4 linked regions of the Arabidopsis thaliana genome follow. The protein of the gene in region 2 interacts with the protein of the main gene of each other region in a pairwise test. Each region holds a gene or a part of one and is shown on either strand. Other genes may lie near its edges. The genes, in order: SULTR1;2, WNK3, AT4G13530 and AT1G04360.

Region 1 (7,821 bases), on a different chromosome or scaffold from region 2:
AGCGCGAGGTTTAAGAAGAGAGGTTTTAGGAGACGAAGAGAATAAAACAAAGCAGAGATTTTTAGAGATGGGTCTCGAGATTCTTCCGCCTCGGGTTATAATCGGCGTAGCTTGTCGGAGAAGATAAACGCCGACTGAACGGAAGCAGAGGAGACTCACCATTGACACTGCAACCTAAACTCAGGGATAACGCCGACGAAGAGATAAAATCAAAACGCAGCGTTTTTAGTTTTTCACAAAGAAATGGGTCATTGTGAATAAACATGGTTTGGGCTTTTATCCGATAAAGCCCAATAACTAAAAAGGACTTGTAAAATCGCAGTGCATTGCGCTAGTAGACAAGTTAAGAGAAAAAGGAAGCTACAGTGTTACTCCACTCATAAATGAATCTTGCTTTGTTTTTGGTCCACGTTCATATCAAATTGATTTAGTGCTCTAAGGATAGGATCATCTTTTCATTTTTCAACATATGGATAAAGATCATATCTAATCTACTAAAAATATCAATGCATTTTAAACTCCAACTTGTCACATTATTGAGTTCCCATTTGGTTTAACCAATCTATTTCCAGAGATATATAGATCTCTACATTGGATACATTTTGGGGTTTTAAACTTGATTTCATAGAAAAATCTTAATTTATAAAAAGTAGTCAACTTTACACTTGACCCCTTGGTGTGATAGAAGAATCATAAAGAAAGGGTCCAAAGAAATACAATCACTTTCTTAACTCTACTGTTACAACATTTAAAAGAGCATATCTTTCTTCTTCTTCGTCATTATCTTCATTTTCTTCTTCTTCTTCTTTCTTGTAAATTTCAGACCTCGTTGGAGAGTTTTGGACAGCAAGCCTCGACGGCATCAGCCACCGTTAGATAGATATTGTCTTGTCCTAACATGTCGGCAAAGTGCGACAAGTGTAGCTTGCCTATCACCAACGGTCCAGGATTCGCCAGAATCAACTGTTTATCATCACAAAACACAGAGTCAGGTAAATCTTCTTCAACTAATTCACTTTGAGTGCTTAGATTATAATCCTTAAAGAATTCAGTATGTGTGTATATATGTATGTACCTGAATGTCTCTTTTCTGGAGAGACTTGTATAAGTCTTCTAATGCGTGAATACCACTTGTATCGATGTCCGTAACAGCTGAAAAATAATGGTGTTCGTTAATCTTTGTGTTATGAGAAAAAAATTAAGAAGGAATATATATATAGAAATTGGGAGTGAAGTTTAACTTACGTGACATTTCGATGATGAGAAACTGAATCCTAGGTAGGCTTGCTGCTTTTACCTTTTCTTCTTCCTCATGTAGCCATCTCTGGATCCTGTAAATGAAAAAGGGTTTTCGATTTAAATTTCTTGTCAACCAAGTAACAGATCTTGGTTAATATTAAACTTTTGTATAGGGTTTTTACCTTTCTCTAACATAATTTGAGTTGGAGAAGTAAATGGCGGAGTCAACACGAATAGTAAGAACCCCTGGAACCATAGTGGCTTCAGGATACTGTTGAATATTTCTGTAAACCGAAGTTCTTGGAATATTTCCGAGAACTGCAGTTCTAGGTCTTGTTACTTGCAAGAGGATCTTAGCAAACGAGATCGAGACCTGTACACATACAAACATTAGCAAATTAAGATTAGAAGTGAATTAGATTCATCATTATTGCAGCTATATATAGAGGGTTTAGTTTTCTTGAGACTTACGGCAATAAGAAGTCCGATCTCAACAGAAACAAAGATGACGCCAAAGAATGCTCCAATACAGGCGATGAAATCGAGCTTATCAACCTTGAAGATCAAAATAGCAGCTTGGATATCGATCAAAGGAATCACAGCGTTGATGATGATAGCTGCGAGGATGGCGTTTGGAGTGTACTTGAAGAGAGGAGTAAGGAAGAGCAATGTCAAGAGAACAACAATTGACATTATGATGTTTGAAACCGCTGTTTGACATCCAGCCATGAAATTGACAGCTGATCTTGAGAAAGATCCGGTAGCTACGTAGCAAGAAGACATCGATCCAACTACGTTCATCATACCTAATGCTACCATCTCTTTGTTACCGTCGATTTGGTAGTCTTTCATTGCAGCAAAGGTTCTTCCAATCGCTACAGCTTCCTGCGAAAACAGATTGAAATATTCGGGTTTCAATGAGGAACTTTCGTTTAAGAGAGATTGAAGTATGAGTCATTGGTTTGTACTTACTGTTAAAGCGACCATGCCAGCGACTACACCGATGCGGATGCCCTTAGCAAGGTTATCACCAGTGAAGTAGATTAGATGGAACGAGGAAGGGTTGATTCCTTGGTCAAGGTGTTTCACCTTTATTCATAAAAAAGAAAAGAAAAAAGAATCATATTAGGTATTACCACAACGACAAATTGTTTGAAACGCAAGAAACTAGTTAGAGGGAGTTGAGATCTTACGATTTGGACTCCTTGTTTGTCGGCTCGGGTTATGTAGACAAAGAAGGTGGAAACGATAACTGATATCAATGGCGCAATAGCTGGTACCCAGAATAGTTTCTTGCTCTTCTTCCCCTGTTTCAGCATCAAGTCAAGAGAGGTCAGAAACAGATCTAAACAAAGAATAAACTTAGATGTTTTGTTAATAGATATATGTCTTACAATGATCTTAGACGTGAGAAGGAAGGTCAAGAATGATGCACCAATGAGTATAGTCTGCCAATTCCACTGCATAGCCAAATTTATATGAATTAGTAAAGAGATTTACCCAATGGAGGAATCAAGAAACAAAGTGTTTGTATCAGCGTAAAGGGTTCTTACGCCGTGATGAGCTGCTTTGAAAACGGATTCAAGAACAGAAATAATATCAGTTTTCTTGGTGAATTTCTTGATCCCGAGGAAGCCTTTAAGCTGCTGAAGAGCGATAGTGATGGCTGCGCCGCCCATGAAGCCAACCACAGCCGCGTGGGAAAGGAAATCGATCAAGAATCCTAATCTGAGAGTAGTAAGGAAGAAGATGAACATTTTGAGAGCCTTTTCAACCATGAAAGAAGGAAGAAATTGTTAATAGATAAGAGATCAATTTTTTACCTGAAGAATCCAAGGGCTGCTTCGGTTATACCGGCGAAAAACGTAGCAGTGAAGGCAAGGCGGAGATATTCATCTGGACTTGTGTTTGGATCAATCTCAGCTCGAAGCAATGTGCCTAGCAACAGCGAAACCACAGCGACAGGTCCTATTGCTATATCCCTAGAACTTCCCATACAAGCATACACCAATGGAGGAACAAAACTCGAATCTGTAACATCAAGAAACATATTTTGAGTATCCAATGTTTTATCAAATGAGGTCAATCAAGTGTGAGCATGTCAAAATCAAACTTACATAAACCGTATTTGGGATCAAGATTCGCCAACTTAGCGTATCCAATATCCTGAAATCATCAAGGAATATACATAAGAAACAAGCAAGTACAGATAACTTGTGATACAAGTACTTGAGTTTAGGTTTTTCACCTGAGGAATGCAGAGACTTGCAATGGTTAAACCGGAGATGAGATCACCTCGGAACTTCTTGAAAGTGTAGTTACGTCCCCAATCGAAGACCGGGAAGACGGATTGGAGACCGAGCATAAACTGCTTAGACTTAGGCTGATCCTTAAAATCCCTAAGAGGATCATCATGAAAGAAAGTTTCTTTGAATGTGTACATGAAATCCTTGAACATGTTTTGCTTTGGTGGGATTCCAACTTTATGCCGAGTGGGTGAAGGTTTCATCGGAACATGTCCACCGTCCGTCGCCGGACTTCCGTCCACAGGGTGAGCTCTTGACGACATAGCTATGTAACTCTGCAAACAGAACAGGAGACTACTTAGATTAGTACTTTACTTTGCAAGTTTTTGAGATTATATAAATTGTGTGGATGGAGTAATGGTATCGAACCAGGAGAAAGGATAGAGATAATTGGGTTGAAAGATGACTTTTAAGTGTGAATTTTGGAGCAACATTGATGAAGCTTATTTATAACGAAAGTTTAGGATAGTTTTGTTTTAATTTAATGATAAGAGAGTGGTGGTCATATACAATTTGATGAATCTGGATTACTAAGAGACCAAGTACATTAAGAACATTGAAAAAAGTCTAACTAGAAAAGATGCAATTTTTAATTGGCGTTGATCGACATTAAAGTTTAAACAAATTAAGTCAATGGTTTCTGTGGCAAACTTTGTGTGCAATACTGAAAACAATCTCAATTCAATGATCTCGTTTACTTTTTTGCTATAAGGAGAGATAGTTGACCAGAATAGCCACGTGGCACATAGTGAGATTTTTTAAAAATGCAACAGTTATCCCTCAATAAACGAGGAAGAACTAACGTTAATCATATCCTTTCGTTTTTTTTTTTATAAAATAATTTAATTTTAGCTAAGAGTAGACGAAGAGAACCTTATTAATTAACATTTGATTTCTGGATTTTTTTATCATCGTTTTGGGTTGGACATAAACTTTAGAAAAGGACTTAAGAAAACTTAGAAAACAAACCTAACTGAACAGAAATTTGGAAAGAATACCTAAAAGGCTATTATATAAAACCTAATTCATATGTTCTTTTTTGGTGGTTCTAATTGGGACTTGATCTCTTGTCCAAACTCTATGTAGATGTTCTGTCAATACCAGCATATTGACTTGTTCATTAGAATGCATTAAACCAACATTTTAAATCACCCATTTTTTAGACAAAAGCTTTAACTTGTGCAAGTTGATGGACAATGACATGATTATTATAAAAACTAGCCGCAATTCATTTTCAACCTAAGTTTTTCTAAGGAATTAACCGGCGTTTTTCTGTCACATAAGCCAATTTCGATCACAAAAAGCTATAAAAAATAATACGATTCTCTTTTCTGACTAATTTTTATATACTTTAAAACACAAATATTGTAATCAGTTTTTGCTGGAGCCAAAGTGAGCACCACATGTGTTGACTTTGTAATGTAGACAAGTATGCATGATTGATAGTGAGTTAATTAATATTCTACCGATCGAAGAGACGCTGTAATCGTAAACTCCTACACCAGACGATACCTCTTCAACATTTTCCTAGTTCTATTCATTATTGTATAATTGCCAGTTATAAAATTGGGTGATTAATCTGATATCTATACACATAGACAAAAACACAATTGAAAAAGGAATCAACTAGTATTATACTATTTTCACCAAAAAAGAAGAAGATGATTAAACATTATATGCACGTGTATTCTATAAATGAGAGGTTTCAAAATAAATTAATTGGTGTTATGCATAGCCATTGATAGTTGGAAGGTGAAACACCCACTTACCTGGAAAAAGAAGAAGAAGAATTCGATCTCGCTTTTTAGCCTTTTTCCTCCAAATTAGACCTTTTACGTGATTTATTTTAATTTATTAAAGCGAAAAGGGATCTTAAAAAGTAGAAACAGAAAAGAGAGAACGATTTAAGAATTAGAGAAAAAGTACACGAGAGATATTAGTTAAAAGCCTCCCCTTTTTAGATTTTAGAACACCAGATTGTTCATGTTCACTATTCTTTTCTAAAGTTTTAAAACAGTAAAATCAGTAAACCTGAATCATGTCCCGGTTCACTGAATCACTCTCTCATCAAAATACAAAACGAAAACCCTAGTATTTTGTGAGAAAAGTACAAAATTTACAGAGAAAATAGATTTTGCTTCAAACTGGAAAAAAATTCAAGAAAGATAAACAAGAGATAAAAAAAATTATTTAACAAAAGTGAGGGGAAAAAGAAATATAGATCTGAGCTTTTATAAATTTAATGTTTTAAATTGGAATAAACATTAAATTATAAGAGATAAAGATCGTGATTACGAATATTTGGCTTTTTTAGGAGAAAAAAATATAAAGGTGATAATGACAGAAGTAATGGAAACTAAGCAAGAACATCAAAGCGGTTAGATCAAATGATTTTACGACAATGCCACTGGCTCCAAATCAAGAAAAGCGAAAAGGTCAAAAGTTAGGAGCGTTTTTTTTGGGGGGTGAAGTTGACTTTTATAGAAACTGGTGGGCCTCGTTTGAACGTGGACTATAATGTGGCTAGGTTCGTCTTTGGTACAATTAGCCATTGACTACGTGTTCGCTACGCGCTAGATAGTGCTTTGGTGGCTACGAGCTATTTGTTCTCCATGTTGGTTCACGGCCAGCCACACACTATCTTACTATAATTTTTTTTTTTTAAATGTATATTCGTCAACTATTTTGTCGTTGTTTCTTTTTTTTTTTTTTGGGTATTAAACTGAATGTCCTAAACAGCTGTTATAATCTGTTTAGATATGTATTATACGTTATCATCAATCTCAAAAATACGTACCCACGATTGAAGTCGGTAACACATTATGTTTTGCATATGTATGCATATTATAACAAGTTTCGATTTGTAAATTTGTGAATGTAACACTTTAAAAAAGAAAATGTAGATGTATGTATGCATATTATATGCTTCATATCATGGGCCAAGTTGAGAAACCGAACCAAGTACCAACCAACTTGAGAAACCGAACTACCAAAAAAACATCATGGGATATTGGGATGTAGGACCAACTACACTTAAATATATATCCGATGAATTCGAAACTATATATATTAACATGTTTCTCTAGCTACACAAACTTTCTACGATGTGAAAAATTGAAATTGAGTTTTTAAATATATACGTTTAGGGTCGAACTTCAAAATTTGGTATAGTTTTAGGCTGACTTGAAATGATATTTGGGCATTTGAAGTATACGAGAGCTTAATTACGTTTATTGCATTAAACGATATACAATTTTGGGTCACAGACTACAGAGGAATCTAAACGTTTCTTTTAAAACTTTTGCTTGTTTTGTTTGGTATATAGTAGAGCTTTGCATGTGAGACTTACCAATAAATATTACTAAGACTAAAAGAGATTTCGTAATTGTAGAACCTCCTGACCCATAAGTTTTCGAAACGACAATACTTGCTGATTTTATACAGATAAACTAATTTATCATAATCGTTTGCATGTTTATTCTTAGCTAATTCTTAGTCATCTTCGTTTGACATTATAAACCATTATTTTATAGCAATTTTACATAAATATATTTAGATATTGTACGCTATTTTAGATCATATTAAAAAAATGCATTCTATTTAAAAATAACCATACTTAAGATTATTTATATATACCGGTATTAATAATGTTCTATAACATCCTACGAAGCATTCAACGAAGATGATTAAGAATTGTGATAACCATGTTAGAAATTGCGAAAAGAACAAATCCGTACCAACCAGAAAAATAAAATAATCGATCGGTTTCTTATATTATGAGAGACCAAACGTTTCAAATTTGTCGGGGGCATATAATCGACTAAAAATTTTCAGGTGCCGCCTAAAAATGGGTAATATATTTATCTAGTCAACCGTTCAGTTTCTATACATGAATTTTAATCATAGTATATGCATTTCAATCTGTAAATTAGTCACGATTATGTTTGACAAAAACAATATTATGTACGTATGAGTATGTTAGCTTGGTTGGTTAGAACTCTCGTCTATAAAGATTTTTTTATTTATTAAATAGTTTATCGTTTTGTACCGATGAATAAAGTTTATAAAAATTATTTTGATTGGTTGTTCGACATCAAGTACCAAGTAATGTAACATTTGCATGTAAAATATCAAAACATATACTACATCATAAGTTTGCCATCGCAAACGCTGACAAAAAGTAGTTTCTTATTTTATTTTTAAATTTTTGTTAAGGGACAAAAAGAAGTTTTAATTTAAAGTATTTTATAGAGGTAAAATAATGTGAAGTGGTCTT
Region 2 (5,416 bases):
TGGTTTATTCTGGCTTGGGCTTTTAAGCCCATTTATGCCAGATATTTGGGTCCAGTCCCGGAATCGCTTACCAACAAGAACAATTTAACTTAAATTACTTTTCGATTTTAGTTCTTATGAAAATTGAGGGCTTTTCTCGGTGCCCTAGAATTGATCGGAAAAATGTTTTCTTCATGGCAGAGCAAGGGAGTGCATGCTTCGACGGATCAGAAACCAATTCCTGAACAAGTATGAGAATTTAGTTTATTTCAGTTTTTGTTTTGATTATTTATTTGCTCTTTGTAGTTTTGATTGGATCCCTTGAGTCCTTGACGCTGCCATATGCTTATATTTGCTTACTCCCTGAAACGCTTTCTTTCCTATAAAGATGTTTTAAGGTAGTTTTATGAAATTTTGGGCTTTTAGCCCATTTATGCCAAATGTTTTGGTGATTAGGTTTATTATCTATGAAACCCTAATATATTATCTTGAGGCATACGCTATTTAAGAAACACCAGTACCCATTAAACCTAATAGGCGAGAGAGAACAAAATATGAACCGCTCTATATCTTCTTCTAAGATTATGAGAGGCGAGCATAGATCATAAGACAACCTTATTAGAGTCTCTGCAAGTGAGTCCAGTGAAGACGAGTAAGGTTCATAAGAGTTGGGTGAAGAGGACGAGGCTAGCTCAGAAGAATCAAGTGAATAAGAACACAGTGATGTGACCTATCATCACCGCGTTCTTTTCTTCTCCCAGACTCTTCTGAGCTAGTTACGTCTTCACCTAACTAATTCAAGAAATATTATTTGACAAATAGTTTTCCTTCAATCATAACTGTCACAATTTTGTTACACATTTACTTACCTTTAGTACAACATAATATTGCAAACCAAATTAATCTTGACGAGAGTGTGTAATGTAAAAAACGTACTAACACAATAAGTTATCAGAATCTTTAACTTGCAATCTCACCAAAGCCTCTTCACAAATCTCAGGAGGAAACTCTTTTAAGAACTCAGTAACAATACGTTCTTGATCTCTCTGCATCTCTTCAATCTCCTCTCTCTGTTTCCTCAACAAAGACTCAAGTTTCTCTACTATAACCCCAACTTCTTGATTGATCGGTCCTTGTGCTGACGACAACTTAGAATTAGACCGTGGCGCAAACGGTGAACGTGAGTCTCCAGCTCCAGCTTTAGGAGAGGACCAGAATTTTCTCCCTGAAGGAAATCTATCTAAATGGAGCGTCTCTGGAGAAGACAAACATTTTTGTACCGCTGAATCATCACCGATAAGTCGAGAAGGGGTCCAATCGGGGATGTGTGAATGTATCTCTGTGTCGATCATTTTAGCTATCGTTGAGATGTCTTGATCATCGGTTAAGTCTAGTTCTTCGACCATTTCGATGGCGACTGAGAAAGATGTGTCTGTCTCTATGTTAAATGGGAAGTGGATATTGCGGATTTGACCTGTATAAAAAATGTTATTATTGTGTCAAAAGAAGATTTAGTAATGATCTGAAGATTTGTAATAAAAAAAGCAAAAAAGATTTTGAACCTTTGGAATCGGTGATACGTAGTTTTAGGAAGATTGTGTTGAGGTCTTTACGTTGGCCTTCTACGGTTAATAAGCCTACCTCAGAATCCGAGAGTTTATCCACGATTCCGTTTCCGTTGTAACCATTTTCTGTGACAATGTTATTGAACTTGGTGTTAGAAAATTTCACATAGAAAAAATATAGAAACTATCTTATGTTACTATTATTGATTTTAACTTTTAAGAAAGGAGTCCATGACACTTCATATTGAGATGAAATGAAATACCATAATCTGATATTACCTTTGTGAGAGCTGACGTTTTCGGTATTTTCCTTGTAGCATTTCAGAAAAGGATCATCAAGTAGTTCCTTGGCTGACAAGCGTTGCGAGACCTTTGCGATACACTTCTCTATGAATGCTCTCACTTGCGGATCAGTCACATTTAAAAGAGCGGCTGGTTTGATTCCCTAAGAAGCATTGAGAAAAATGGATCGACAATATGGAAAAAGTCATTCTTGATTGGATATGAGATGGGAATATGATCACTTACCGATGTAACTTTCCTATAAATCTGAGCAGCATTTGTGCATTCGGAATACGGGTATTCAAAAGTTACCAGCTCAAGCAAACACATTCCAAACGCGTAGATATCGACAAGTACATTATAGTCCTCTTCATAGAGTTCCGGCGCCATAAATTCAGGAGTTCCTTAAACAATTTCAAACACAAAATTATAGTTTCACAATGGAGAAACTTTTTCGTTTGAGAACAAGATTAAAGATCTCACCGATGACGCTATGAGCAGAGCGAGCGCGGTGCAGAATCGCGGCTAGCCCTAGATCTCCAATTTTGACCTCACCTTGGTTCCCATTAATGAAAATGTTATCACATTTAAGATCTCTATGGATCACAGGAGGATCATGGCTATGTAGATAAACAAGCCCTTCTAAGATCTGCCTTGACCATTTCTTCAATGCTCTTAGATCAACACACTTATGTTTCTTCCGGTACCTATAAGGGTTTGTCAAACATGAATAATATTGATCAAATAAAAAAGATTTGATTTGACTTCTGAGAGAGGAATCTGACTGTCTAAGATTTCCGGAAGTGAAGACTTCGGTGATGAGATTGATAGTCATGTGTTGGTGATCGATCCAAGAAGTGTAGAATTTGATGATGCTTTTGTGTTTAAGGGTTTTGAGTAAGTGAACTTCAGAGTAAAGACGATCTAAATCCTCTGAGCTACAGAATTTATCATCTAACTTAACTTGGTTCCAAGCCACTTCGATTCCTTCAAGTTGGTCAAATGCTCTGTATCTGAAGAACTCTCTGATCAAAGAAACCCTTTAGTGACTGTGTCTTGTCCGAATCTAATCTGATTTGTCTCTGTAGTAATAACAGAGATCTAAGAAAAAGGATACACTTCTTTGAAAGCTCCTTTGCCTAGAACTTCTTTATACTGAAAACATGAGAAACAAAAACATTAGAATTGAGAAAAAGGTAACACTAAAATCAAGTAAAGAAGAACAGACCCGGCCATAGCGACCAGTGGGATCAATCTCAACGAATTCTTCCTCGGAGTTATTCTCGTCTTGTCGCATTCTTGGTTACTTGCAATTCAAAACAGATGATAGGAGTTCTTGAGAGAAGAGAGAAATTTAGTCAAGGAAGAACAAGTTTTGAAGCAGTTTCTGATAATAATAATAATCATTACTTAGCTGTCTTTTTGTGTATAAATCGATTATTTAGATTTTGTGCCATTAAAACCAAGCTTAAGCTTTTCCAGCTGCTGATCATAATGGTGTCGACTGTAGAATGTTGTACACTCTCTCTCTTTCTCATCTTCGAATTTAGGACACTCAGATCCACTGGACAAGACCACGTGGCAAAGGTGTGGGTCGTTGCTTTTTTCGCGCCATGGATCTGGTTTTTTATTTGATTTTCTTCTCATTTATTGTCATGTTACTCTAATCAATTATTTTGCTTATTCAGTCAACTTCATGGTGTTGTGAATATAAAATATTCGGACTTTTTTTTTCCCCTTCTTAACTCTTAAGTCACTGTTTTAGCTGACTAAGAACCCTATAATTGACTATCCTACAAATCGAATAATGGGTTTGGTAAATTACAAAATGTTTAGCCATTGAACCCGCTTGTCATGGTAACGAATTCGATTTTACTGTGTGTAAACAACAATTTGGACTTCAGCTTCAGTTCTTTTAAACTTAAGGAAACTTTTCACTAAAGGGTTTTGCTCTCTCTCTCAGGATTAATAGAATAATAGTCATAGTTTTTGGTGAAACATAAATATTCAATGTTGTTACACTTTAAATAGAAACTTGTACTGACACAAATCACTACACTAATGTTATGATCATTTGTTATAATCTATTACTTCTACTTATATCTCAAAATATAAATGTTTTACATATTGGAGACAGAATGTTTGAGACGAATTAGGACATTTAAATTTTCATGGAGAATTGTTTGTTGAACAATGTTGTCGTTGTATTTTTGATGAGTATGAATTGGCGGTTCAGCCGTTTAAAAACCGATTATATACAATGATCATCAAATTTTTGTAAGGCCCATTGGGCCCAGAGTATATAAATCCTTAGAGCTGACGGCAGCCTGAGACCATTATCCTAGGCACTTGTATTGTATGGTGGTAAGACACATCGTGGAAGCACCGAAAGACTAGAACGGTGACACGACCAAAATAAGACATAAATCGTAAACGCACCAAATGACTTTCACAAGGAAAAATCTCGAAGAACTAAACATTAAAAGACTGGTGCATGCATAAATACATAAGTCCAAAAGATTGAGTGGACAGTAATTACGTACTAGTACTACCGTGAAGAAACTTGGCTTGTATATGTAAGTCCAAAAAAACCACAAATAAAAACTCTTCACAAGAACACGTTTTGATGTACTTGAAGAATCCAGACATGATGATCATGTTCTTTCTGTTATGCTCAATAATCTTTGTAGTTACCATCATAATTTTCAGAAAACAGAAGAGAGGGAAGAAAAGAAACACACTTCCGTCACCACCGGGACTACCGTTGATCGGAAACCTTCATCAACTCGGCCGCCACCCTCACCGATCACTATGCTCTCTCAGCCACCGGTACGGTCCTCTTATGCTTCTTCACTTTGGCCGTGTCCCCGTTCTTGTAGTATCTTCAGCTGAATTGGCTAGAGACGTTTTGAAGACGCATGACCGTGTTTTCGCAAGCCGGCCACGGTCAAAAATCTTCGAGAAACTTCTTTACGATAAGCATGATGTGGCCTCAGCTCCTTATGGAGAGTACTGGAGGCAAATGAAAAGTGTGTGCGTCCTCCATCTATTCAGCAACAAAATGGTACGATCCTTTCGAGAAGTGAGAGAAGAAGAGATCAGTCTGATGATGGAAAAGATCAGGAAATCGATTTCTTTGCCGGTAAATCTAAGCAAGATCTTGGTGAGTTTAACTAACGATGTGATATGTAAAGTTGCTTTGGGACGGAAATACGGTGGTGAAACGGATTTTAAGGAGTTAATGGAGAGACTAAATAAACTATTGGGGACGTTTAGTGTGGGGAGTTATGTACCTTGGCTTGCGTGGATTGATTGGATCCGCGGTTTAGACTGTCAACTAGAAAAGACGGCAAACGATGTTGATAAGTTCTTTGAGAGAGTTGTGCAAGATCATGTCGATGGAAACAGAGATATGACTGATTTTGTGGATGTATTGCTCGCTATTCAAAGAGATAAGACCGTCGGGTTTGAAATCAACCGTGTTAGCATAAAGGCAATTGTCATGGTGAGGAAACACACTTTTGAATGATACCAATTCAGATTTATGATGTTTTATTGTGTAATGTTTTTTTTTTTTTACAACATGATGT
Region 3 (5,506 bases), on a different chromosome or scaffold from region 2:
AATTCCTCAACTGATGTATCTTAAAAAAAAAAAAAAAAATCCACAGATTCAGCTAAAAATCACTACGAAAAATGAACGATTAAAATTAACATGGGCCACATCAATTGGGCCTAAGAAGATAAAGATGGGCCACAACATTTAGGCCTAAAAGAAAATGACCTCAACATCAAAACTTCGACAGTCAGTCACTGTAACATTTTAGATCTTTCCCGAAGAAGAAAACGAAGAAGAGACGAAGAGAGAAATGAGGCCGATGCAGCTGGATATGTTATCGGAGATGGATGATGCAGGTTCTTCGATGGCCATGGACGTTGATGACCTCGAAGCCATGGAGATACTCAACGAAGGAGGACTTGTCTCAGATAACAAGCTCGCCGACGCCGATTTCTTCAACAAATTCGATGATGATTTCGATGACACCGATATCAACTAAATCCGGTTAAGTTTCCTCTTTAAGATTTCAGTTTTTTTTCCTAAACTTGATGTAATTTGTGGAGAAACCTATGTAGTAAGTGTGTAATAAGTTCTGGGATTTTTATGTTTGTGGTATGTAACAATGTTTTTCTTCATTTGGATTACTAAAACATTTGATTTGTGTGTTATTGTGCTTTGTCTGATTGTTTTTTTTGGCTCAAATTTAGAATGTTTTTTTTTTCCTTGGTTCTGGAGATGATGATGTTTTTTGGAGATTGAAACCTAATTTTCTTTAGTGTTTTGGTATTTTAGTAACTGAAAATTAGAGTCTTTGTATGTGAAGAATGTTGTGAATTTGTATGTGAAGAATGTGAAAGTTATTGATATTGGCTTAAGATAGAAACTAATTGATTCATTTGGTACCATATTCCATTGTGATTGCTTGTAATTTCAACATCTGAGGTCTCTGAAATATGTGTTGATGTGTTTCATTGTGTTGATATTCATGTGACTCACCGGGTCTAGAGAAACTTCCCGGTGAGAGATGAAATCCTCATGTAAGCTGTAACTTTCCACTAGTGATTAAGTGAACTAGGGAACTCATACTGAAGCACATATTCCTACCAACAATTTAATGGCCTAAGAGAAATAGTCTCTTGTATCTTCCATGTAACTCAGATACATCAGTCAATGATTTATATGGATATGGTATCTTGTTCCATGTTGATTTCTTGTAAATTCACCATCTCGTGGTCTCTGAATGTGTGTTGTATTGTGGTATGTGGGAGGGGGTGTATAATTCCTGTCTTGTGGTATGTAGGAGGGGGTGTATAATTCCCCTGGCCAAGTTCTGTTGTTGCATCGTGTCATATTATATTCTCTGGGCCGGTTTTGAGATGGAAATAATGTGCTTGATGTTCAACTATGGTAGAAAGGAAAAGGAGGCTAAGCATAAAGATGTCACTTGTCACTTTGTCAGTCCCTAGCAGTCTTTGTTACTTGCCTTATAGTCGTATGTATGTAGTGTAGCCAAATTTCATGAGATTTCAACATTCGATAGCAATTCATTAGATATCGGTAACCTCTTTTCAGAATCTCTTACTAATAAAAAAAAAGTTATTTGAGGCCTCTCACACTACCCACCTCAGCCTTTTAACAAATGTGTTCTCAAGTTGCCACGTCATCAACTCTCTCAAAAACTCCCAAATCTCTGCAAGCCACCATCCATGAGCCTCTTAACTTTCTTCTCCTCCCTACCTCAACCTTTATAAAATCTCCACATCTTGGTTTAATGACTAAACTCTAAAATTTTGAGTTATAAAAAAGAATGTTTGTTAAACTATGATATTAACGCTAAACATTTATTGAAAAAAAAGTTGGGTTTCGATTAATATTAAATATTTCCTATGTTTCTTAGCAAAAATAAATAAATATTTTCTCTGTTTTTTTTGTTTGATTGTTAGAAAAAAACACACAAAAGTAAATATATTAAAGTTGATTTTAAATATATTATATTTTGTGTTTTACAATTTTCTATCACTTTAAACCAATAAAATTTAATTATTTTTATTAAAGTTTACAATTCATTAATAAAAACTAATAAATATTACATAAAAATTTTAAAAAATCAATTTTTTTGAAACAATTTTTTTTTTCTTCAAAATCAACAAAATAGAACCGAAGGAATATGAATTACGCGGATTACAATTAAATTATCAATTCATCGATCACCTAATTTGAACGAGAAAAAACAAGTAAAAAAACGAAAAGTAAAATAGTAAAAAGTAAAAATACATTCTATTGGATTTGGTTCGGTATCAATAAATTATGATGTTCTTCACAAAATGCATTTATATGACGTGTTTGCTTCCTCTCCCTCCAGTTTCAAGTTGAGCATATCTGATTAGCAAAAGCGGTTGAAGGTCCTCTACTTCTCGGCCCACCGTAACAACATACACTGTCAATCCATATAGTTATCATAAACCCACACGTCAACGAAACCACTCTTTTGACTTCATCCTCTATCCAATCACACCACGCCACGTTAACACCACGACCTAGTGTTTCTGTGATCTCCACACAGAGAAAGAAGCGTTTCGGTTCTGTTTTCGCCCCAACACAAAGACTCCTTTTGTTTCTTTTCCTCAATTGGATCGAAAAAACCCCTAACTTTGACATGGAAGGAGAGATTCAAGACTGGGAAATACTTCAGAGCTCGAGATCTACCACGGAAGATGACAATTCGAGGAGCTTGGAGGAGATTGATGATGGCACGCAAGGTATGATTAGGTTTGATCATTTCTCTCTTGAGAACCAGAGTGGTTTGTCTCGTTTGGAGGCAAACGATGAAGATGGGTCTGTTCAATCGGGTAGTCCAGGATGGATCGAACCTAGCTCCGATGTTCCTTATGGTCCGAAGCATTTTAGTGAGTTATGGTCTGATTCAAGCAGTGATCGGCTTGATGATCAGAGGTTAGTGGATGATGATGTGAATAACGAGATGGGTATAGAGAGAAACGAAGTGGGTATTGTTGAATATAGTGAAAGTATAGCTCAAGACATGGATTTGATAAGCTCTGATGAGAGAAAGGAAGAATCTTTACTTCATCCAGTGGAAGGAGAAGGAAACTCTGTTTCTATTGATCCTGGTGTTAAATCTGGTGGTGGAGGAGGAGAAGAGAAAGGGTTTGTGTGGTGGAAAATTCCAATAGAGGTGTTGAAGTATTGTGTGTTGAAAATTAATCCTATTTGGTCTTTGTCCATGGCTGCAGCATTTGTGGGTTTTGTTATGTTAGGGCGTAGATTGTACAATATGAAGAAGAAGACTCGTTCCTTGCAGCTTAAGGTTCTTTTGGATGATAAGGTAACTAGCTTGGTTTATTTGATTGTTTATTGTTCTTTGAGTATGTTGATTCATGAGTCATGTGGTTACTGTATGATCTTTTGGTGTGATATGAGCTCTGCTTAGTTCAACTTTTACTGCTTAGTTAGATGTTTTATTAGTGTCAATTGTTGTTTTGATGGGGAAAATGAGAAGATCAGATCATCCCCTTGTTTGTCCTGGGACCAGTTTCTTGTTGCTAAGTAGTTTAGATGCAACCAGCGACTCGAGGTCATAGTATTCACCAACAGGCATACACTCGTACCCATTTACACTATCTTGCTAAGGGTTTTTGATATAGCACCACTGCATCGGTTGAGTTCTTGATAGATACTTTTGGCATAGAATGTGTAGTTGGTGAGAGCAGTGTTAATAGTCGTTAGAATACCACCTGGGTGATCTATTTCTTTGTCCGTCCTCTCTGTTGTTTCATCTCCTATAATGCTTAAACAACATATTTTTTATTTTTACATTTTGAGTTTGCATGTTCTTTCTAATAGCTAAAGGATAGTTGAAAGATCTTTAGACTAGTTTTCAGTAGTTATTCTTTGTAGATTTTTCATGTTGGTAGCCAGAGATGGAAGTTACTATATATTACGAATCTTATCGTAAAATGTTTCTTTGAGGAATGGATAAAAGTAGTGGTAAAACCTGAAAGTTTAGTTTAACTGATCTTCCACTGGTACAAAGCCTCAGTAAGGACCCAAGTTTGAATCCTGCTTACGGTTGCATATAACTTGGCGGATCAAATATGTCTTTTGCTGCTGAAATTCACGTTCTTGCTTGACTTGTATTCATCTTTTTCACTCATGGCAATGAAGAACAAAAGTTCTAAGTATTTCAGAACACAATTCGGAAGATTTTTACACCATCTGATTCTTGTATTGTCTGTCTTTTGAATGAAATACTTTTTTCAGAAGGTGGCGAATCATGCTGCTCGGTGGAACGAAGCAATCTCGGTAGTGAAACGTGTGCCCATAATCCGGCCAGCACTTCCGTCATCAGTGGGTATGAACCAGTGGTCCATGATGAGTTTAAGGTGAAAATTAAGTGAATTTGAGGGCATAATAATGCATATATGTGAGATTATATGATTTGATGTGGTTGGTGCATGTATCATATGATTGTATTAAAAATGTTACAAAAACATACAAAAAGATGCTTGTAAGTTTGTACTGTGTGTGTATATATTGTTACTTGCTTGGTGGAATACAAATTGGATCAGAATCATAGTGCAGTTTTGGAAGGTTGCGGTCAGAATCTAACCTTGATAAGCTTCTGAGCTGGTCTTAGTAGGCAGTGTCGTAAAGAGATTGTACAAAGACAAAAGCCAATAACGGAATTTTGGTTGTTTATTTAGAAAGTACGACTCTTTAAGATATGAAAAGGGTTAAGACAAAAACCCAAATTAACAGGGAAGTTCACGTGAAGAGGGCAATGTTTCTGATTGATGTAGCCATGTAGGAGTCTATCTTTCACTTTATAGCTATCCTAAACTCTACGATGTCAATTGTGATTAGATATATGTCTCTTCTTCTTGTTTCTTTGTCTTCTTTCACTCTATTATTCGTTGACCATTGTACCACCAAAGTTTGGTATACTCACTTATCATACTTAAATCACAAGTGAGTATTGTAAGGAACTAAGGATCCAAAGCTAAAGCATACTCATGAAGTTTAACTATTGACGTTTAACGGAAATAAAGCAAACCAAAATTCGAACTTCAAGATAAATCTACCCATTGTCTTCACGTAACATACTCAAATTTTGGTTTGCTATGTTTGATTCGGTCTATAAAAACACAGACAATAACTTAAGACCTATGTAACAATTTCCTCCATGAGAAGAAGACAAATTAGACCAAAAGTTTGAGAGAAACCTATAAAACCTACAAATATTGGGAAGAAAAAATAGGAGTAAATAGGTATGGGTCCATGTTAATGATGCATGTGACAAACAATCAAAGCCCACACCATTAATTGGAGATTGAAGAAAAAACACTGCTTTTCATATTCTGTAACACCACTTCAATTCCTTTTTCTCTTGTTTCCTATTCAGTACTATGTCCTGAGAGTGCCCATAACTTCTTTTGTCTTTTTATCTCAGTTTCCATAAGAAATAATCAACTCAAGCCACAATGTGTGTTTGTGTGATTAGTTTTGTGATAAGACATTCCATAATTTTCCTATTGTGTGTTTAGGATAAGTGAAG
Region 4 (4,266 bases), on a different chromosome or scaffold from region 2:
TTTCCAGTTAAGTATGTTTTTATAGTGTAGCGTAGGGCTAGAAGACGATCCTGATCAATGCAACTAATAGAATCTCGAACATCAAAACAAAACAAAGAAAATTATAGAGATCGAGTTCATATCTCGGAGCGACGTGTATCGATGATGGTCTGACGCACACACGTGACCGACCAAGCATCACGTGCTGCTGAATGCTGATCCATCTCACCGTTGCTGTGTTGACCTGAGTCGTCGACGTGGCGCATGATGATGATCCTCAGGACCTCATTCTTAAAAGAGTAGTCTATAGTCAAAGTCAATTGTTAATGCGGAAACAAAATTCTACTATATTAATGAGATGCCTAGATTTCTTTTTTCATATTAGTTTTGAATTGTACAAATAATTGGATTCTAGTAAAATCCTCCCAAAATTGAACCAAAAGCTTTCACAGCTGTTGTCAGTCCATGTGAAAACTACTGATGAGTTGTTTTTCACAAGTTTCATGAATCAACTGTTTTTAATGGTGATTTAAGAAAGTTTAAATTTAAGTAATACAATGTCACTAAGTTCTATATGAAATATTCTTCTGCTGCTCTGCCCTGGTTGTAGTATTTGTTTATTTGTAATTACTGCCGAAGCATCAATTGTGATTTTGTCGATTTTTAGGTTTAACTGATGCAACACTTCAACAAAAAAAAAAATTAAAAAAATTTGTAAACATGGATCTGAATCTAATTTTGTCGATTTGTGATTTCTCCCACTATATTTTTTTTTTCTTTTGACAATCGTGATTACGGATTTTCATCGGGAGCCACTTATGAATATTAGTTGTTTGGATAAAAATAAAAATAATGCAAAAACAACAAATTACTTTCCACTAAGGGTTGTCTCCGTCGTGGGCACGTTTTCGTTTTTATTATGTTAGGACAAAACTAAGAACGCCATAAGTCGATGTGTATTTATATATCTTTTTGTGTTAAAGATGTGTATTTATACATCCTCTAACGTATTATAGAACATAAGTCCATCTAAAATTCGATTATATACACTTTGATGATAAATAATACACAAATACGTACACCCAAAATTACTCAAACAACTAACAAAAATAGTCACAATTGTTTTGCTAAAGACAATACATTATTGATAAGAGAAAAAGGTTCAAATATAAAACGAAACTATACTTCTCACCGGACCTATTATTATGTTCTATTCTGTCGTGAGCCAAACTCGTCAAACATAAATACACGATAGAGACTAGTGAGTATGGAAACATTGTCCTTCTTTATCATTTTTTATTTCTGTTTACCAGTTGTTGTTTTGTTTTTTGTTTTTTTTAACATCTCATCTCATTTCTTATATATTTAAACTAATAAAAGATGAAAACCAAAACGAAAACTTTGAACTATTTCTGCGGTGGATTTGACTTTTCTTTTATTTCTATTTTGACGGGATTAGACAGAGAAAGGATAAGTCTTACTAACCTTGTGTCTTTTTCGGGGATCTTTCTTGGACCGTTTCGAATCATAACTAGATCTTCGATATCTATCATATTATCTATTTTGAACCATAGTTTAGAGCAAATTACTTGCAGATATTCTTCTGAATAAGATAAATTTATTACATTTTCAAAGGATCCTTCACAAAATATATAGTCTGTCTAAACATATCAATTTAATTAACCGACAAGTGTGGTTAGCTGGAGTTCACAGATTCTAATTATTGAAAAATGACCACTATACTGTATTAGCGAATCCAATTATATCATCATTATACTACATACGACTTTAATATAAACGTAATCTACATGGACAAACAAAACTTTCACTATCATCAGAAGATCCAACTCAAAATGTCAATTAAATTACTCCACTTGAATATAAGTAAGCTTTTCCTTATTGTTTTCCTCACCATAAGTACTACAAAAAATGTTTAAATAAAAAGAAAACTCTTACACCAAACAAGTCACATAGATCGAGGAAAAAAAAAAAACTCCTAAAAGATTCAGCAAAATGATAACCTAAATGATGAAAAAAACAAAGTAAGATGATAACCTAAATAAATAAATGAGTCATATAAGAAAGAGCCTCTGAAATCTCACCAACTCTTTCTCTCTCTCTTTCATTTCATTACTTCATCTCTGTTTTTCTTCTCTACCACTATCTCTTCTACTATTCTGATCTTTCTCTTACACACGCAATTACGTATATATAAACACTTTCAGAGTAGGGAGGAAAAAGATTCAATAGAAAATAATTACTTGATTTCTTGATTTTTTTTTTCGTTTTCTACTGAATATTTCCCTTCAAATCCTAGAGGGAGCTTTTCATTTAGATTGTTTTGTAGTCAAATGGATCTAACAGACCGTCGTAACCCTTTTAACAATCTTGTTTTTCCGCCGCCGCCTCCGCCGCCATCCACGACCTTCACAAGCCCTATATTCCCACGAACAAGCTCTTCCGGCACCAATTTCCCCATTCTGGCCATCGCAGTGATTGGAATCTTAGCCACTGCGTTCTTACTTGTAAGTTACTACATCTTCGTGATCAAATGCTGTCTTAATTGGCACCAAATCGACATCTTTCGCCGCCGCAGACGAAGCAGTGACCAAAACCCTCTAATGATTTACTCTCCTCATGAGGTAAACAGAGGACTAGACGAATCCGCCATTAGAGCTATCCCAGTCTTCAAATTCAAGAAGAGAGACGTTGTTGCAGGAGAAGAAGATCAGAGTAAGAACTCTCAAGAATGCTCTGTTTGTTTAAACGAGTTTCAAGAAGACGAGAAGCTAAGGATTATTCCTAACTGCTGCCACGTGTTTCACATTGATTGCATTGATATCTGGCTTCAGGGCAACGCAAATTGTCCCTTGTGCAGAACCAGCGTTTCTTGCGAAGCAAGTTTCACTCTTGACCTAATCTCTGCACCGAGCTCTCCTCGGGAGAATAGCCCTCATTCTCGGAACAGGAATCTCGAACCCGGCCTGGTTCTAGGAGGCGATGATGACTTCGTCGTCATAGAGCTTGGGGCCAGTAATGGTAACAACAGAGAAAGCGTGAGAAACATAGACTTCCTTACGGAGCAAGAAAGGGTTACCTCGAATGAGGTCTCGACCGGAAACAGCCCGAAATCGGTGAGTCCTTTGCCTATAAAGTTTGGTAATCGGGGAATGTATAAGAAAGAAAGGAAATTTCACAAAGTGACGAGTATGGGAGACGAATGTATCGATACTAGAGGCAAAGATGGTCATTTTGGTGAAATTCAGCCCATAAGAAGATCGATCTCGATGGATTCATCAGTGGATCGTCAGCTGTACTTGGCGGTCCAAGAGGAAATCAGCCGGAGAAACAGGCAGATTCCGGTAGCTGGAGACGGTGAAGATAGTAGCAGTAGTGGTGGTGGTAATAGCAGAGTCATGAAGAGATGTTTCTTCTCTTTTGGAAGTAGTAGAACTTCAAAAAGTTCTTCAATATTACCTGTTTATTTGGAACCCTAATTCTGTATTTTCCTCTTCTTGATTCATTGTTCAAAAAAATTATTTTTTGTATTTGTTATTTGCTGAGGTGAATTTAAAAAAAAATATTTTGGAAGGTGAAGTAGGAGAGAAAGATATATAGTGTACATGTTTCTTCTTTGTCAAATACACATGTTCAATGTTTACAAGTCATAGGAGTAGATGAGTTACTTGAATAGTAATTACAGAAGTTTCTGAAAATTGAATAAATAGTGTTTTTCACTAAACGAGTTACACGAAAACAAATCCCAACAAAGAACTGCAGGGAAAAAAAAAAAAGGAAACAAAGAACTAACCTGTGAGGCCCAAACGGCTTAAACACATAAAGGCCCAAATGCATAAAAGCATAAAGGCCCAAATAAATCTTTGTCGCCGCAGACTCGCCTTTAAGGTCCGTATCAAATCGGACAGAGGAGGAACTGAGCATGACGACTTTCCGGCGTAGGAATTAGTAAATCCTAAAATCGGTTTCTGCAATCAAACCGGCGTGGATCCTCAGACCGTGAAGATAGTATTGATCAGTTTTCTGCGAGCTAAGTACCGAATGGTTGCAGGTTTGCCTTGGTTGGCTACAACAAGCAATCTTTGATCGGTTTTGTTTGGTTCAATAACATTTGCTACTGGTTTAGTTTGGTTACTGATTATACTTTAGCTTGTATATAATTCTTTCTTTTGGTATTGCTAGTTTCAATTTAGTCAAGAAACTGTGATTGACAAGATGCTGATCAAGTTTGAACCTTTATTCCCAATTTAAAGCATTCACTAAAATTAT

The links.
Region 1: the proteins of WNK3 (region 2) and SULTR1;2 interact in a protein complementation assay, tested with the Arabidopsis thaliana proteins (one large-scale study listed by BioGRID).
Region 3: the proteins of WNK3 (region 2) and AT4G13530 interact in a protein complementation assay, tested with the Arabidopsis thaliana proteins (one large-scale study listed by BioGRID).
Region 4: the proteins of WNK3 (region 2) and AT1G04360 interact in a protein complementation assay, tested with the Arabidopsis thaliana proteins (one large-scale study listed by BioGRID).

The regions. Positions count from the first base shown.
Region 1 is NC_003070.9:29,325,876-29,333,696, reverse strand, and holds SULTR1;2 (sulfate transporter 1;2), read right to left. Parts: upstream 6,183-7,821; 5' UTR 5,315-6,182; intron 4,369-5,314; exon of another isoform or gene 3,821-4,368; 5' UTR 3,809-3,820; coding exon 3,488-3,808; intron 3,473-3,487; exon of another isoform or gene 3,406-3,472; coding exon 3,357-3,405; intron 3,271-3,356; coding exon 3,063-3,270; intron 2,968-3,062; coding exon 2,793-2,967; intron 2,700-2,792; coding exon 2,634-2,699; intron 2,547-2,633; coding exon 2,433-2,546; intron 2,329-2,432; coding exon 2,212-2,328; intron 2,125-2,211; coding exon 1,711-2,124; coding exon of another isoform or gene 1,630-1,710; exon of another isoform or gene 1,613-1,629; coding exon 1,422-1,612; exon of another isoform or gene 1,332-1,421; coding exon 1,246-1,331; coding exon of another isoform or gene 1,199-1,245; exon of another isoform or gene 1,153-1,198; coding exon 1,076-1,152; coding exon of another isoform or gene 1,049-1,075; exon of another isoform or gene 964-1,048; coding exon 820-963; 3' UTR 477-819; downstream 1-476. Other genes in the region: AT1G78010 (tRNA modification GTPase), read right to left, coding at 1-162. UniProt on the Arabidopsis thaliana protein: High-affinity H(+)/sulfate cotransporter that mediates the uptake of the environmental sulfate by plant roots. Plays a central role in the regulation of sulfate assimilation. Unable to transport molybdate.
Region 2 is NC_003074.8:17,872,098-17,877,513, forward strand, and holds WNK3 (with no lysine (K) kinase 3), read right to left. Parts: upstream 3,434-5,416; 5' UTR 3,124-3,433; coding exon 3,055-3,123; intron 2,982-3,054; coding exon 2,944-2,981; exon of another isoform or gene 2,840-2,943; coding exon 2,612-2,839; intron 2,534-2,611; coding exon 2,310-2,533; intron 2,231-2,309; coding exon 2,073-2,230; intron 1,990-2,072; coding exon 1,824-1,989; intron 1,671-1,823; coding exon 1,542-1,670; intron 1,454-1,541; coding exon 915-1,453; 3' UTR 723-914; downstream 1-722. Other genes in the region: CYP71A26 (cytochrome P450, family 71, subfamily A, polypeptide 26), read left to right, coding at 4,474-5,331. UniProt on the Arabidopsis thaliana protein: May regulate flowering time by modulating the photoperiod pathway.
Region 3 is NC_003075.7:7,864,218-7,869,723, forward strand, and holds AT4G13530 (uncharacterized protein), read left to right. Parts: upstream 1-2,110; 5' UTR 2,111-2,590; coding exon 2,591-3,277; intron 3,278-4,212; coding exon 4,213-4,338; 3' UTR 4,339-4,959; downstream 4,960-5,506. Other genes in the region: SMAP1 (small acidic protein 1), read left to right, coding at 245-433.
Region 4 is NC_003070.9:1,166,717-1,170,982, reverse strand, and holds AT1G04360 (RING/U-box superfamily protein), read left to right. Parts: upstream 1-1,948; 5' UTR 1,949-2,330; coding exon 2,331-3,476; 3' UTR 3,477-3,695; downstream 3,696-4,266.